Coturnix japonica: one gene and its partner. The protein of the gene in region 1 interacts with the protein of each later gene in a pairwise test. Links are inferred from orthologs where the notes say so. Each region holds a gene or a part of one and is shown on either strand. Other genes may lie near its edges.

The links. The genes of interacting proteins can lie anywhere in the genome.
Region 2: the proteins of zinc finger and BTB domain-containing protein 8A (region 1) and ZNF276 interact in binary tests that used the Homo sapiens proteins (3 or more experiments, as listed by UniProt). The two-hybrid records come from large-scale screens. The link is inferred for Coturnix japonica from reciprocal best matches to the Homo sapiens genes ZBTB8A and ZNF276.

Annotation. Positions count from the first base shown.
Region 1 is NC_029538.1:4,572,062-4,578,559, reverse strand, and holds zinc finger and BTB domain-containing protein 8A, read right to left. Parts: upstream 4,522-6,498; 5' UTR 3,709-4,521; intron 3,132-3,708; exon of another isoform or gene 2,784-3,131; intron 2,667-2,783; 5' UTR 2,645-2,666; coding exon 1,708-2,644; intron 1,306-1,707; coding exon 1,133-1,305; intron 743-1,132; coding exon 410-742; 3' UTR 23-409; downstream 1-22. UniProt on the Homo sapiens protein: May be involved in transcriptional regulation.
Region 2 is NC_029526.1:16,728,539-16,735,045, reverse strand, and holds the start of ZNF276 (zinc finger protein 276), read right to left. Parts: upstream 4,377-6,507; 5' UTR 4,263-4,376; coding exon 4,067-4,262; intron 3,330-4,066; coding exon 3,020-3,329; intron 2,917-3,019; coding exon 2,864-2,916; intron 2,667-2,863; coding exon 2,175-2,666; intron 1,430-2,174; coding exon 1,351-1,429; intron 276-1,350; coding exon 195-275; intron 1-194. UniProt on the Homo sapiens protein: May be involved in transcriptional regulation.

The sequences.
Region 1 (6,498 bases):
ATGACATAATATGAAGACTTAATGAAATTTCATGGAAAATTATCTTTATTTCTGAATGCTGAAGAGTAATTTACACCGATGTGCAACTTTTGTAAGCATTTAGACCTCACCTCTTTGAAAGAGGTTTTGAGAAGAGACTCACTGTACCGTAAAACCTCGTCCTTGTACTTCAGCCTCCGGGATCAGCCGTTACTCCATTGAGGGCACATTATTTCTAATGAAGCAAAGTATGGGGATTTCGATAGCAAAACTCAGGATGGACTCAATGATATGTCCATGAACACATGCAAGTCTGGCCCTGTCCAAGAGAAGCCAGCAGGTCTCTGTAGATGTCAGGCTGGTGGAGGGCTCACGGGCAGACAGGATTTCCACGTAAAAGGAATTCCATGCACTCGTGTTTGTCTCACAACTACCTGATATTTGGTTTTACTTCCTTCTCCTCTGCTTCATCCTCACTGTCATCAACCTGCTGGATGACCAAGTCAGACGACCCGTCCTCCACGATCTCCACATCGGATTTGTTGTCTTCCCCGTAGTGCCACCTGGAATCCTTATCCCCGTCTGCTGGAAATTCAAGGGGCGCTTCAGCCTCCAAGTCAATGCGGATGCTGTCGATGCCGGCTTCAGCCAGGCACTCGTTGCAGAGCCTGTAGCGCCTGGTCCCCTCCTGCACCACCTGTCCCGTCAGCTCCGTCACGTGGCGTTTACACTTCCTGCAGATCAGCTTACAGGCCTGATGAATCTGGGAAAATTGAGAGGAATCCATTTATACAGCATCAGAGAGGAAGCGTTTAATGACAAAAAGTAAAGCTAGAGTGCCATCAAATGTCAGCATTAACTCATTGTGAGCAGCGGTCAGACATCAATCACGAGACATCCACAGGAGCTCCAGTTGTGCACTTCATCCCATTACAGACCTCACGCAGTGCAGTGCCTTTGTGAGCCAACAAAGGAACTCATCCTCTTTCATTGGAATTATGCTTCAAATGGACTTAAGCAAAACCAAGTTAATTATCTACTCCCTATTCTTTACGGGAGTCAATGTATCAACCAGACAGGCTGGCACTGTGTTTAATCACACTGAGATGGACTCACACATCAAGTGAAACTCACGGTTACCAACAATACGTACAGTGCGGAAGTGGCTGCTGAGGTGATCCAGCCTGCTGAACCGCTTCCCACACGCCTCACACGGGTACGGCCGCTCTCCTGTATGGCACCGCAGGTGACGCTTCAGGTCTGCTTTCCTTTTCACCATGTGAGTGCAGAACGGGCACTTGAACCTCATCCTGGGCAGATCGTCTGCTGGGAAACAGTTGGAGTTTTAAAAGAAGTCGTAACATACCCGTCGTTTAGTTACTCCAGTTACTGAAAGCAACAGAAACAGAACAGAAAATGGCTTCTATTTTAAAGACATTGTAGGTCTTTTCAGATACAGCTCTTGTGTAAATTACAACATCGAGGGAAAAGGAGCGGGGCTATCAGCAACATTACAGTGAGAATAACAAACCAAAACGATCGTGACTGTGTAGCTCTAAGACATGAAGAATATGTACTTTGCAAAGCTCAACTTCACTCATTCATCACTCTCCAAGTGTTGATCTCAGCTTTCCAAGCCTACATCCCTGAAAACACAAAGCCTTTCTGGTAAATGCTCCTTCAGCACTGTGTGTTTCTCACTGACACAGCACGGAGACCCCCTCCTACCTTCAGCCCAGCCTCCCATCACACCTACAATGGAGGGCATGCTGGGGTACTGCTCGTCTGCTTTTGGAGACTTGGATTTGCTGGAAGGACGGGGCGAGTCGCGCTCCTGCTGCGACACGGCTGAGCGCCTGGAGATCACATCGGAGCCCTGGCCATACTGAAACCCCACGTGAGGAGATTCCGCTTCTGCCTCAATCTGAACCTGGTCCTCAGGTTGAGAAATGTGGCCAGCAGGCTCAGCAGCCCTGTCCTCCAGTTTGCTGGATTTATAGTGTGGAATGTCAGCGGGTTGCTGCAGTCCCGGGTGTCGGGATTTCTTTATGGCATCCTGCCTTTGCTCGTGCTTGGACAGCTGCTGCTGCGTGTTTCTTTGAGAAGCTGGATAGTAGTTGAAGTTGCTCCAAGTGTTTCCCCTCATACACGTCCCTTGCTCTGGGTTTGGCTGTGGATGTGGGGGGCTGCTTTCTGCCCTCCAGCCCGCGCCGTACAGACACGGCTGCTCCCCGCCATTGGAATTCACCTCCTTGTCTGAGAGGCTGAAGTATCGATCCTTCTCCTTCTCACTGATGTCCAGAGACGACTTGATGAACGTTTTACACACGCTGATAACGTCGGTCATCTGAAGGTAACTGGCGGCCGACATCACCTCGATGACGTTCTGACCAGTGAGAGACAGTTTGCCCGAATACACAAAGTCCAGAATAACTGTGAAAGTGTCCGGAGAAAACGCCTGGAAGGTGGCGGTGGTGGGTTGAGTCATTTCCTTGGAGCTCTGCGAGAGCAGCATCTTGAAGTACCCGCTGCTGGCAAACAGCACATTGCGGTGCGCCCTGAACACTTTGCCCTCCACCAGGATGTTGCAGTCACAGAACAGCTCCTGCCTGCGCTGCTCATTGAGCTGCTCCAGGAGGTGAAACTGGTGGGACGAAATCTCCATCCCAAAGCAGATGTGCTGTGCTCTAGGAAACAAAGGGATTAAAACAAATTACAATCGTGAATTCCACGTTGCGCTGCTCGCCAAGGCCGGCAGACCCCATTTAATGGATATTCTGAAAAATAATCTTATTGAAACACACAAATATATTTGAATTAAATATCCCAATATCCACCACCAGGCATTGCTGTTCGAAAAGGATGGAACGAGTCCATGTGAGGCTGCCTGTGCTGTTTGGCAGCGATGTCAGAGCTCCGAATGAGCAGCAGCAGCATCCTCAGATGGAGGCTGAGAAACGCGGCGGCACCGTTCAGCCGTTCACCGTCATGGCGAGGAGCCCAAGGAGCCCGAGGAGCCCGAGGGAACCGGCAGAGCTGCGGCCTGTGCCCGGTGCTGCCGTTCCCGCACCGCCCGAATCCGGCCGGGCTCGAATCCATCCCCGCCCGAGGGACCAGAAACGGGAACTCGGCTCCGGCCTCATCCCTCCCGTCCCGGGCTGCCCCCATTGGCCGCCGCCGCCGCCACTCACCGCGCCCCGCCCGCACCGGCCGCCGGCAGCCCGTGACGCCCGGCGGCACTGTGCCCGCCCGCCAAGGCGCGGAGCCGCCGCCCGGTATCGGCCGCGATGCCGCCCCGGGGCCGCCGCCCCCGCTCCCGGTGCTTTAACACGGAGCGGCGCCCTCGGCCGCCGTCCCGCGTGGCGCTGCCCTCGGCTCCGCTCGGCTCCGTGCGGGACGCGCCGCCCGCCGCCCCGTGGCCCCGGCTCCGCTCGTTCCCGCCCCGCTCCCGCCGTGTCCCTGAGCCGCCCCCGCCCGCCCCGCCCGGCTCAGTCCCACTTCCCCCCCCGCTCTCCGCTCCCGCGCCGCCCTTTGTTGCCGCGCCCGGTTTCTCTCCTTCTCGCCCGGTTTCTGGCCGCCAATGGCGCCCGTTGGCGCTGCCGGGGCTCCGCGGCCCGCCCGGCTCCCGGCGGCGAACGGCGGCACGGCCGGACCGCGGGGCTGCGGCTCCCGGCGCCGTCCCGCCCGCAGCCCCGCACACGGGCTCCCTCCGCCCCGGCCGCCACTCACCGCCGGGTTCCGCGGGCGGCTGCCGCTCGCTCGGTCGCGATGGAGGCGCGGGCGGAGGGTGCGGGGTCCCCGGCTCCGCTCGGGCCACGCTCAGCGCCCCGTTCCCGCAGCCCCGAGCCCTGGAAGCCCGAGCGGGAGAGAAACAAAAGGTATTTGCTGACGTGGGCGTTGGACACGGACGCCCGAGGGCTGGGGACACAATTAAAGGGGCAACGCACCGACTGCAGCCACAGCCCAGCAGCTCCCGACGTCTGACCGCCCTGCAGCTCGCGCCGCTTCCGTCCCGCACACACACACGATCCGTCCGGGTGGGGCTGCGATGTCCCGGTTGTTTCTCACACCTTTATGTGTAACACGGGCCCAAATGACCCAAATCCTTCCTTAACGTATCTGCAGCTTCCCCAGGAGGAGATGCGATGTCTTTCCTTCACATCTCAGTTGTCTTTGGAAAAAGCAGCACAACGCCTTCAATCAACCTCCACCTCTCGACTTCTCTCGCTCCAAGTTTGACACCCTTCACCTTCCTCTTCTTACCACCAGCGTCTTTTCTCTCCTGACCCTCATTTGTTAATCATCCCTTGTCCCATGTTCTGCCTTAGCTGTATCCTCGGTTCCTTTCAACCTTCCCTTGCATAAACTTCAGACATTCCATCTTGAATCAATTTACGTTCCTTTCCCCATCGTAGCAGAAGCAGGAAGGCACCTAAAGGCTTTTTCCTCCCCCACTTTCATTCTCGCAGTCTCTCCTCTCTTCACATTCAATTTACGTCCATTTATGTTGGATCGTTGTATTTCCCCGCTTTTATTCCCCTTTTTAATAAACTTCTGTTGTTTTCTCAGTTCTGTCTCATTTCGAATTTTGCTGTGCAGGCCACACTAAAAATCCTTCATGTGTCTGTGTTCTTTCAGAAAGAGAACAGAGAGATGACAAAAGTCCAGCACAGCTTTGCATGAATTCCTATGGGGCGTGAGCCAGCCAAGGCAGGGAAGAATGAAGCAAGTGAAATACATGGGAATTTATAAAATCACATCAGGATCAATAGGAAGTGATTGTCAGCTGCTGATCCTGGTGTAAGGGGAGGTGACGGCAAATGAAGCGATAGCGGTTGGCAGCAACAGAGCAGCAGGATGTGGTTCTTCACCTGACATAGGCAGGCACAGGAGCTCCTTGTTGTGCAGTTGTGGAAGCGAAATGTGAGCGTTACACGAGGCAAGGGTACAGCTATTGAGACCAGGGTACAGCTATTGAGACCAGGGTACAGCTATTGAGACCAGGGTACAGCTATTGAGACCTGTGAGTTACCTGCCATGCACCTCTGTAAGCCTCCATGTCTGTAAGAGGAGCATTCAGGTATTAGTGCTGCTAAACGCCTCTTGTTTCCTCGCACAGAGCAGGCAGCTGTTGTGAGCAGGACAACAGGGCAGATGAACTCGTGTTTGTCCTGGTGTTACAGCCCAGCTCTGCAATCCCTGAGTTCACAAAGCCCTGGACAGTGGCTGCCAATAATCCATGTGCCTGTCGGTTCAACTAAGCAGCACCACTTGTGTATATGACATCCTACATCATGGTTTCCCCCCACTTCCATATCCCAAATAGTTCTTGTACTGAAAAATTCCTTCTGAAAAGAATAGATTGTGGGTATTTGTTCTGCACGACCCAGCTGACACTGCACAGACCAGGTGCTTTCCTGGCGATACCAGAGGGCACCGAGCTCAGCAGTTTTATCAGTGCAAGCAGGAGTTTAAGGGTTCTCCATCGGCTACAAAGAGGTCATAGAATTTTAAAACTAGGGGAAAAATGCTGTGATATCTCGAGTAAACAAATCAGATCTTTAAACCTGATACGAGTGCTCAGAATACTCAGAATAGTTCAGGAAACGCCCAGAAATTCACCCAGTGCAGCTGGGATCACAATGGAACAGAATGGGGGTTTTCTCAGACATCAGGACTCGTTTCGCCCTGTGCTGCACAGCAACACATCACAGCCATTCCAATGCTTACAAAATAACAATAATAATCAAAGCCAAAGCAACCCTCTGAGAGTTTTATTTTCTAGACAATCAGAACGCTCCAGAATGCTCCGAGATCCACAAATATACTTAAGTCACTTCTACAGGTAAGGTAAGATCGATGAGAATTGGTCACTTAAAGTGGGCAAAAGGACTCCAGCTATGAAAGTGCCATAAAACATCAGTAACGACACAACCACATCTGCAAGATTTACAAGGTCTCGCACCAACAGGTAGAACGCACTATGGACAGCAGTGCAGCACGTGATCCTCCTGCAGTCTGTGTGGCCTTTAAGAACTTTGAGGAGATTACAGTAGAAATGAGTTTTGTAGAACCATTTTTCATTTGTTGGTTAAGCACCACGTGAATGTTTTATAACAGCTACATCGCTGCCTCGCAGCTTGTGGAGGCTGCAATTACAGTGGAAGGTTTCAGGAAAACATCAAAAACCGGGACGGGAAGCACAGCAAACACTGACATGAACATTCGGGCACAAGAACGTGGATCAACTCCATCCGCTTCTATTGAATACAAAAGCTGAAGGACTCAGCTGAAAACAAAGCAGCACAACATGACAGATCAACAGGAAACATCGATTCTGGTGCTCACTTTCGATCTGGAACACGAACAGCACAGCCCCCCCCTACTCAGAGTCACACAAACCATAGCACAGCTCCGTTCTCTATGCACAAGACACACAAGAACAACCTCTAAGACCAAAGAAAGCAGATTGCAGGAAAATTGCTGGAGGTCTCTGCAGTTATTCCTGCAGCTTTTACT
Region 2 (6,507 bases), on another chromosome or scaffold:
GGCTTAGCCTGGCAACAACAGGAGCATGCTGTCAAACACAAGCAAGCCACGTTGATGTATCAGTGCAGAGCCATGCAGGAAAATAAGCTTGCCCAGCTGAGCCCACCCCACCCCAGGAAGCAGAGGTGGTTCCAACCCTCCTGTCAGCCTCACAGCTGACCACGCTGTGCTGCACAGCAGGGAAAGCCCCTCACTTTTTCTCCGGGTAAGGCTCGAAGGAGTCGTCTGAAGATTGAATGTTTCTCTTCTCGATTTCATCATCGCTCAAGAAGTCTCTGAGAAAGAGAGAAGATGCCCTTTACCAACGCAGGACTTGGCCGACACTTCAGCAGCAGCAGCAACATGTTCTTTATTTCCAGCATTCATCTTCCCCATAGAACAGCATGGCAACCCAGGCTCCACGTGTTCTCCTCCCCCACAATCTCCCAAAGCAAATACAGCCCCCAAACACAGCAAAGAGCAGAACTGGTTCCTCTTAGGACCAGATCTCTGTAAGAATCACTGAACTGCTGCCAGGAGAACAAAAATGGCTGCTTCTGAGAGGGTCTGATGTTGTAAACTACTTCCTATGCTAATAAAAGTCATTTTGTAGAGCAAGAATGTCTGGCACAGGTGAATTAAGCTACAGGTCATCCAGTATTTCCTCATAGGGAGGAGCCACATCTTTCTGTTTGTTTTTAAATCCCAAGCTACACAAGACGCAATTAATTCTGAAGCCAGGAAAGGGGCAGCGGGTTCCTGTGGTGCTTTCGACACGACAGCTGACAGATTTAGCTGACACACCACAGTAAGTTTGCACTTGGCCCCTCCGTACCTCCACTCAACCGGCAGCTGTTTACACACCTCACTAGATCTGGAGGGCTCAGCCAAATCTTAGCTCAGAACAATCTCTAAGCAGCCTGCATCCCACTCGGGCTTCCTGTACTCTCCTCCCTGTGCACAAAAAGGGTGATTTCAGAGCAGCAGCTCCTGCCTGCGAGCCCACACTGAATGCTCACAGCTGCAGAGGGGAACCAGCAGCAGCTCTACCAGCACACAGCCCGGAGCAGCAGCTCTGCCAGTGTGCAGAACCACACAGCCCCACACCGCCCTGCCACGGCTGCTGCTATCCCAGAGCATGGGGCAGTGCACAACACAGCCAGCTGTGCTGGAAGCAACCAACAGACAGCGCACGCTGTGTGTGCAGCACGTGGGAGGGAGCCGAGTGCTACGACCGTGGCTGCAGAGAAACCACCCTGCCCCTCAGTGCCACCTCCCAGGGCCTTCTGAGGACCATGGAGAAGCTCTCCGCGGTCATTTCATACTCGCAAAGAAGACATTAAGGCTATTTTAAACCCACTCTTCTCTCACCCCTCAGAAAGGTCACTGAACTCGTCTTTTACCCGCTCATCCGACGTTGTAGACAGAACCTGCTTCCCACTCAACTGTCCTAGGGAACGAAGGAGAACAAGGAACGTTACTAGGAAAAGCAACGAAAAGGTCACTACTGCTCTGCAACCAACAGACGCCTTCCCCAGTCAGTTCCGACTACCTGTTCTCTTTCCAGCAGCAGACATATCGTCATGTGACTGCCGGAGCTAAACAGATCCCAGCTTCTGAAACTCAAAATCAGTGTTAAGCCCCATATTTTAAAAGACAGAAGAACGCAGCAGCAAACCTGTATTAAGGCAGCCCAAGAGCAAGGCTGCCTGTGCAGACAGAAACGGCTCCTGGGCCTCATGCTGCTCACATTGCCCTGCAGTCACAGCGGGGTGGGAAACCCCCCCCAGACTGACACATAGCCAGGGTTTGGATTGATCCCAAATAACCACCTGGCAAACAGACAGAATGGGACCGCTCTGTACAGCCTGAATGGTGCGTGTCCCAGGTGCGAGCAGGGCCAGATAGACACAGCCAGCTGAACAGCCACATCTCACCCCATCATCAGAAGGGAAAACAATGTGCAGAGGCAAGGAGACCAGCTTGGCTGCACGACAGCTGGGCCAGCCAAAGCTTCACATCCCCCTTCCCTCTGCAAGACTAGAGCTGATCCTCTGGGCAACCAGCACTTCTGAGCCACAGGTCAAATGCCCTATTAGTCCCCAAGGAGGGGCAGCCAGGCCCAGCAGCGCTCCCTGGGCAGATCTCTGTCTTACCCAGAGGCCTGGGGTGCGATCAGAAGGGAAATCCCTTACCTGTGGCACCGCTCAGTGGTGACACGGGCTGGGGCAAGGCTTTCTCCTGTAACGAGGCTGTGCTGTCCTGCTGAGAATGAGATGAATCCCTGTTCTGCGATGGCTCATTCTCCAACTTCAGTGGCACTGCTGCGGTCCCTTTGTTTGCGGGCTGCTGACAAGGAGTTGTCCTTACTGGAGCATGCTGGGGTTTGGGAGCAGGAACAGCCTCAGCATTGTCCGCCCCGTTGTCCGTCAAGCGCTGCGCCATGCTCTTGTTCCACTCCCGTTTGACAGCCAAGGCATTATCAACGAGCACTGTGCTACAGTCAGAATCCGTGTCCATGACGTAGTCGTGCCCGTCCCCGCAGCCCCAGACCGCACGGATGATCCCGCAGTACTCAGAGGACAGCACGCTCTGCAGGCTCGGCACCGACTGGCAGCCCCCGGCGTGTGCGTGTGCCCACGTCACCAGGCTGTGCAGGCACTGCGGGCTGGAGGTGATCAGGTCGACTGTTGGAAGGGGAGAAGCAGCAGGCACAGGGTCAGAGCCTGCAGACCCGTCCCTTCTGCACACCCACACTGAGGCACACGGCAGCAGGTGAGGGAGGCAGCCTACAGGCTGCTCTTTGCATCCCCCATATGCCAGAACCGCCCTCAGCACCCCTGACAACCAACCCTTCCCTGCTGCTCCGTGAGCAGCTACTCACCCAGACAGGAGGCACCTCCTTCCACACCAGGCTGGGCCGGGGCCGCACCGCTCCTGCAAAAGCCAGAACAGCACAGGTAGCATTAGAGGGACCATACTGAACACGCGGCCATTCATTCCTCCCAGCGACCACCAGGAGCACAGAGATGCAACCTACTTTCCTTTCGACTTGACGTGGCCGGTGGGGGACGCGTTCACCCTCTGAATGAAGGTCCTGAGGACGCTGCGGCACTTGTAGAACTGAGCGTGGCATTTCTTGCAGACAAACTGCGGCAGCGCTGGGTCCTGACGCACCGCGACCCCCACGAGCCGCTGGAAATCCGTGAAGAAAACCTGATCCACGCGGCGCTGCTTCTCCGAGTTCTCCCCCATCACAGGGACCTTCCCGAAGGCGTTGCGCAGGCTCCTGGATGAGAACTTGCCGTGGCAGAGGCGGCAGTACCCGGTGCTCAGCGCTCTGCCGACCCCTGCGAGAGAAGGACGGGATGCGGCTGCAGGAGCACGCAGCAGCTGCAGCCCGAGGGCGATGGGACACTGCGAGGCGACATCCCCGTCCTGTCATCCGAGCCCACGCTGCCGTCACAGCCCCGGCTTCAGCACCAGCACTGACCGGGAGCGAGACCTGCGTGACTCCGAGCAGCGCTGGGACCCCACAAACCATCCCCGTATGGCATCCCCGCCCTGTGCTGCTGCTCCAGACCTGGCTCCGTTGTTCTCAAGGCTCTCACACATCCAGCTCCCACCAACGCTGCTCCAGCTCAAATGCTCCTATTCCCCCTCCACTGTTTATGGTACGAACATGCAGCAGCCGCAGCGCAGCCCCGTGCTGCCATCACCGTGACGCTCCCACAGCCGCACACGGCACCAATGATGAGCTGCACACCGGGGATGGAGCAGCCGCTGCCCCATAGCACAGACCGACCGGCAGCTCGGCTCTGCGGGCTGTGTCCGTGCACTGCCCGGTGCTGGCTGTACCGGGACTCCCGGCTGCTCACAGCGCCGTGACGGCCCGCAGCGCCTCCAACAGCGCCCCGTTACAGCCGTCACTGACCGCACTCACACACACACACACACACACAGGCCGCGTCCCGCAGCTCGTTACCCCGTGTCGGTGCCGCTCATGTCGCCGTTCCCCCCGGTTCCCCCCGGTTCCCCCCGGTCTCTCGCTGCCCCGCAGCCCGTCCCGTCCCGTCCCGTCTCTCACCTCCGTCCGCCGCCCCGCCGGGCCGTGCCCATCCGGACTCCTCCGCCGCCACCGGTTCCCACCCCGCGGTCGGTCCGGTCCCGGTCTCCCGCTCCTCCTCATCCCCTTTGTCCCTTGGCCGCCCCCGTCCATCGGGTGATGCCGCCCCGGTGCCGCCCGTTGCCGCCAGGAACCGCCCGCGCCGATCGCGCTTCATCGCGGCCGCCCGGTCCCGCCGCGCCCCGCCCGAACGGCGCCCTCTTGTGGGCCGGAAGACCCGCCGCTGCACTTCCGGTTCGTGCCTTCCGTTTTGAAGTCCCTCCGGAAACACTCTCCGGCCGCACTTCCGGTTTCATCCCTTCGCTTTTTAAGTTCCCCCCGGGAACTCCGTGTCGCTGCTCTCTCCGTTCCGGCCGTGATGGCGGCGGCGGGCGGTGCTGGGGATGGAGCCGGGCCGGGCCGGGCCCTGCAGGGCGCCATGAGGGCGGCGAGCGGGGCCTTGGAGATGGACAGCGCGGGGAGGACGCGGGTGAGCAGCACGGCACGGGGCGGGGGGCCGTTATCCTACCGCATAACCCAGGTCTCGTGTCCATCCCCGCATCATCCCCATTGATGTCACCGCAGGACGCCTATATTCAATACCTGCACAGCATCGCCCTCATCTCGCAGGCCCTGCAGGACGAGGCGGGGCTCACAGGTAACAACCCCCCCCCCCGGTCCCTCCCCCCGCCCCTCGCAGGGCAGTGACCCCCCATATCGCAGAGCACAGCGAAGGGCTCGGCCCCGACACCCCCAAGATGCTGAAGCTGGCGGAGCAGTGTCTGGAGAGGGTCAAGTCCTTGGCGGCCACGCTGGGTGAGTAACGGCAGCACCAGCGGGACCGGAGCCTTCAATGGGCTGATGGAGCCGTGTCATCCCGCACAGGGAAAAACAAGGGCAAACCGAGCACAGCGGGGGGACCCGCGCCCATCTCCAGGCACCGCAGGGTTTTCTCTGACGAGGGAGGGAAGCTGTCACCGTTCCTGCCACCAGAGATCTTCCAGAAGCTGCAGATCGCTGAGGCACAGAGTGTGCGCAAGTGAGTGGGGCTGGGGGACAGCGAGTGCAAATGGACCACAGCACAAATCCTATGGGGAGGGGGGAAAGGAGGGGCAGGGGGACCACAGTGCTCCACTCAATGGAGAAAAGCAGGGCAGGGTTGGGCTCTTCTCCCAAGCAGCAGGTAGGTGCGGAGCTTAGGGACACGGCTTATAGATAGAGGTGGTTATGGATGTTGTGGGGTGAGTTTGTGGATCGCAGAGCTCTTCTTCAGCCTGGAAGGGTCCCAGCTGGCCAGGATGCCTGGCTCACATTGAAGGCCACCACAGTGTTCAGCTCATTCCCTGCAGGGAGCTGACGCCACTGGAGGAGGCATCGCTGCAGAACCAGAAGCTGAAGGCTGCCTACGAGGCGCGGGTGGCACGGCTCAACCCCAGCCAGGCCCTGCAGAAAACCTCACTGGTGAGTGGGGAGCTGGGTACAATGAGTCTCGCACTGGGACTCTGAGCAGGTGTCACCCACGTAGTGTTCATTGCTTGGCAGACGCTGTCTCTACAGCGGCAGATGATGGAGAACCTGGTGATAGCCAGGGCACGAGAGGAGACCGTATCCTTTCCACTAAGGGAGTGCCTAAAGCAGGGGACTTGTGTTTGTGGCTGTTACTTCATCAGCCACCTCAGGGCTGTGCCGGGTGAGATGCTGGCTCACTGCTGCGGCACTTCCAGTGCCTTAACTCTGCCATGGCCCAGCTGCAGAGGAAAATGGAGGAGCGGCGGCTGCGGCTGCAGGAGGCGGCCAACAGGTGAGGGCGGGGCTGGGGGGTCCCAGTGGGGACCGTGAGGGTGCGGAGCTCCCTGCAGACCCCTCACCTGGCACTGTGGCACTCGCAGGAGGTTCTCCAGCAGTGTGGCCCTAACCCCTGAGGAGCAGGAACAGAGAGAGCTCTATGCTGCCATCCTCGAGTATGAACAGGACCACGTGAGTATGCGCTGGAGGCTGCTGCTGTGGATGCTGTGAATGCAGAGGGCTGTGCTGGGAATCAGGGAGAGGGGCTATTCCCACTAACCTGCTGTGAGCACTCCCCCAGGACTGGCCGCGGCAGTGGAAAGCCAGGCTGAAGAGGAGCCCGTCAGACCTGTCCCTGGTGACGGGGCTCTTCTCCTGCCTCCTCAGGTACTGTGGGGCTGACAGGGGGCTGTTCACATCGCTGGAGGGCCACAGCACTTGCCGTTGTCCCCTGCTCACCCCTGTCCCTCTGCTTCCAGCTTCCCAGAGCACCCCATTGCCCAGCTCCTGCGCAAGCTGCAGTGTGCGGTGTACACTCGGCTGTACCCAGCTGTCAGCCAGAACAATCCCGAGGCCGCCCCTGCAGCCCCCATCGGCCTCGCCTTCCTCTCTCTGGACGCAGGGGGGCTGCTGCCTGC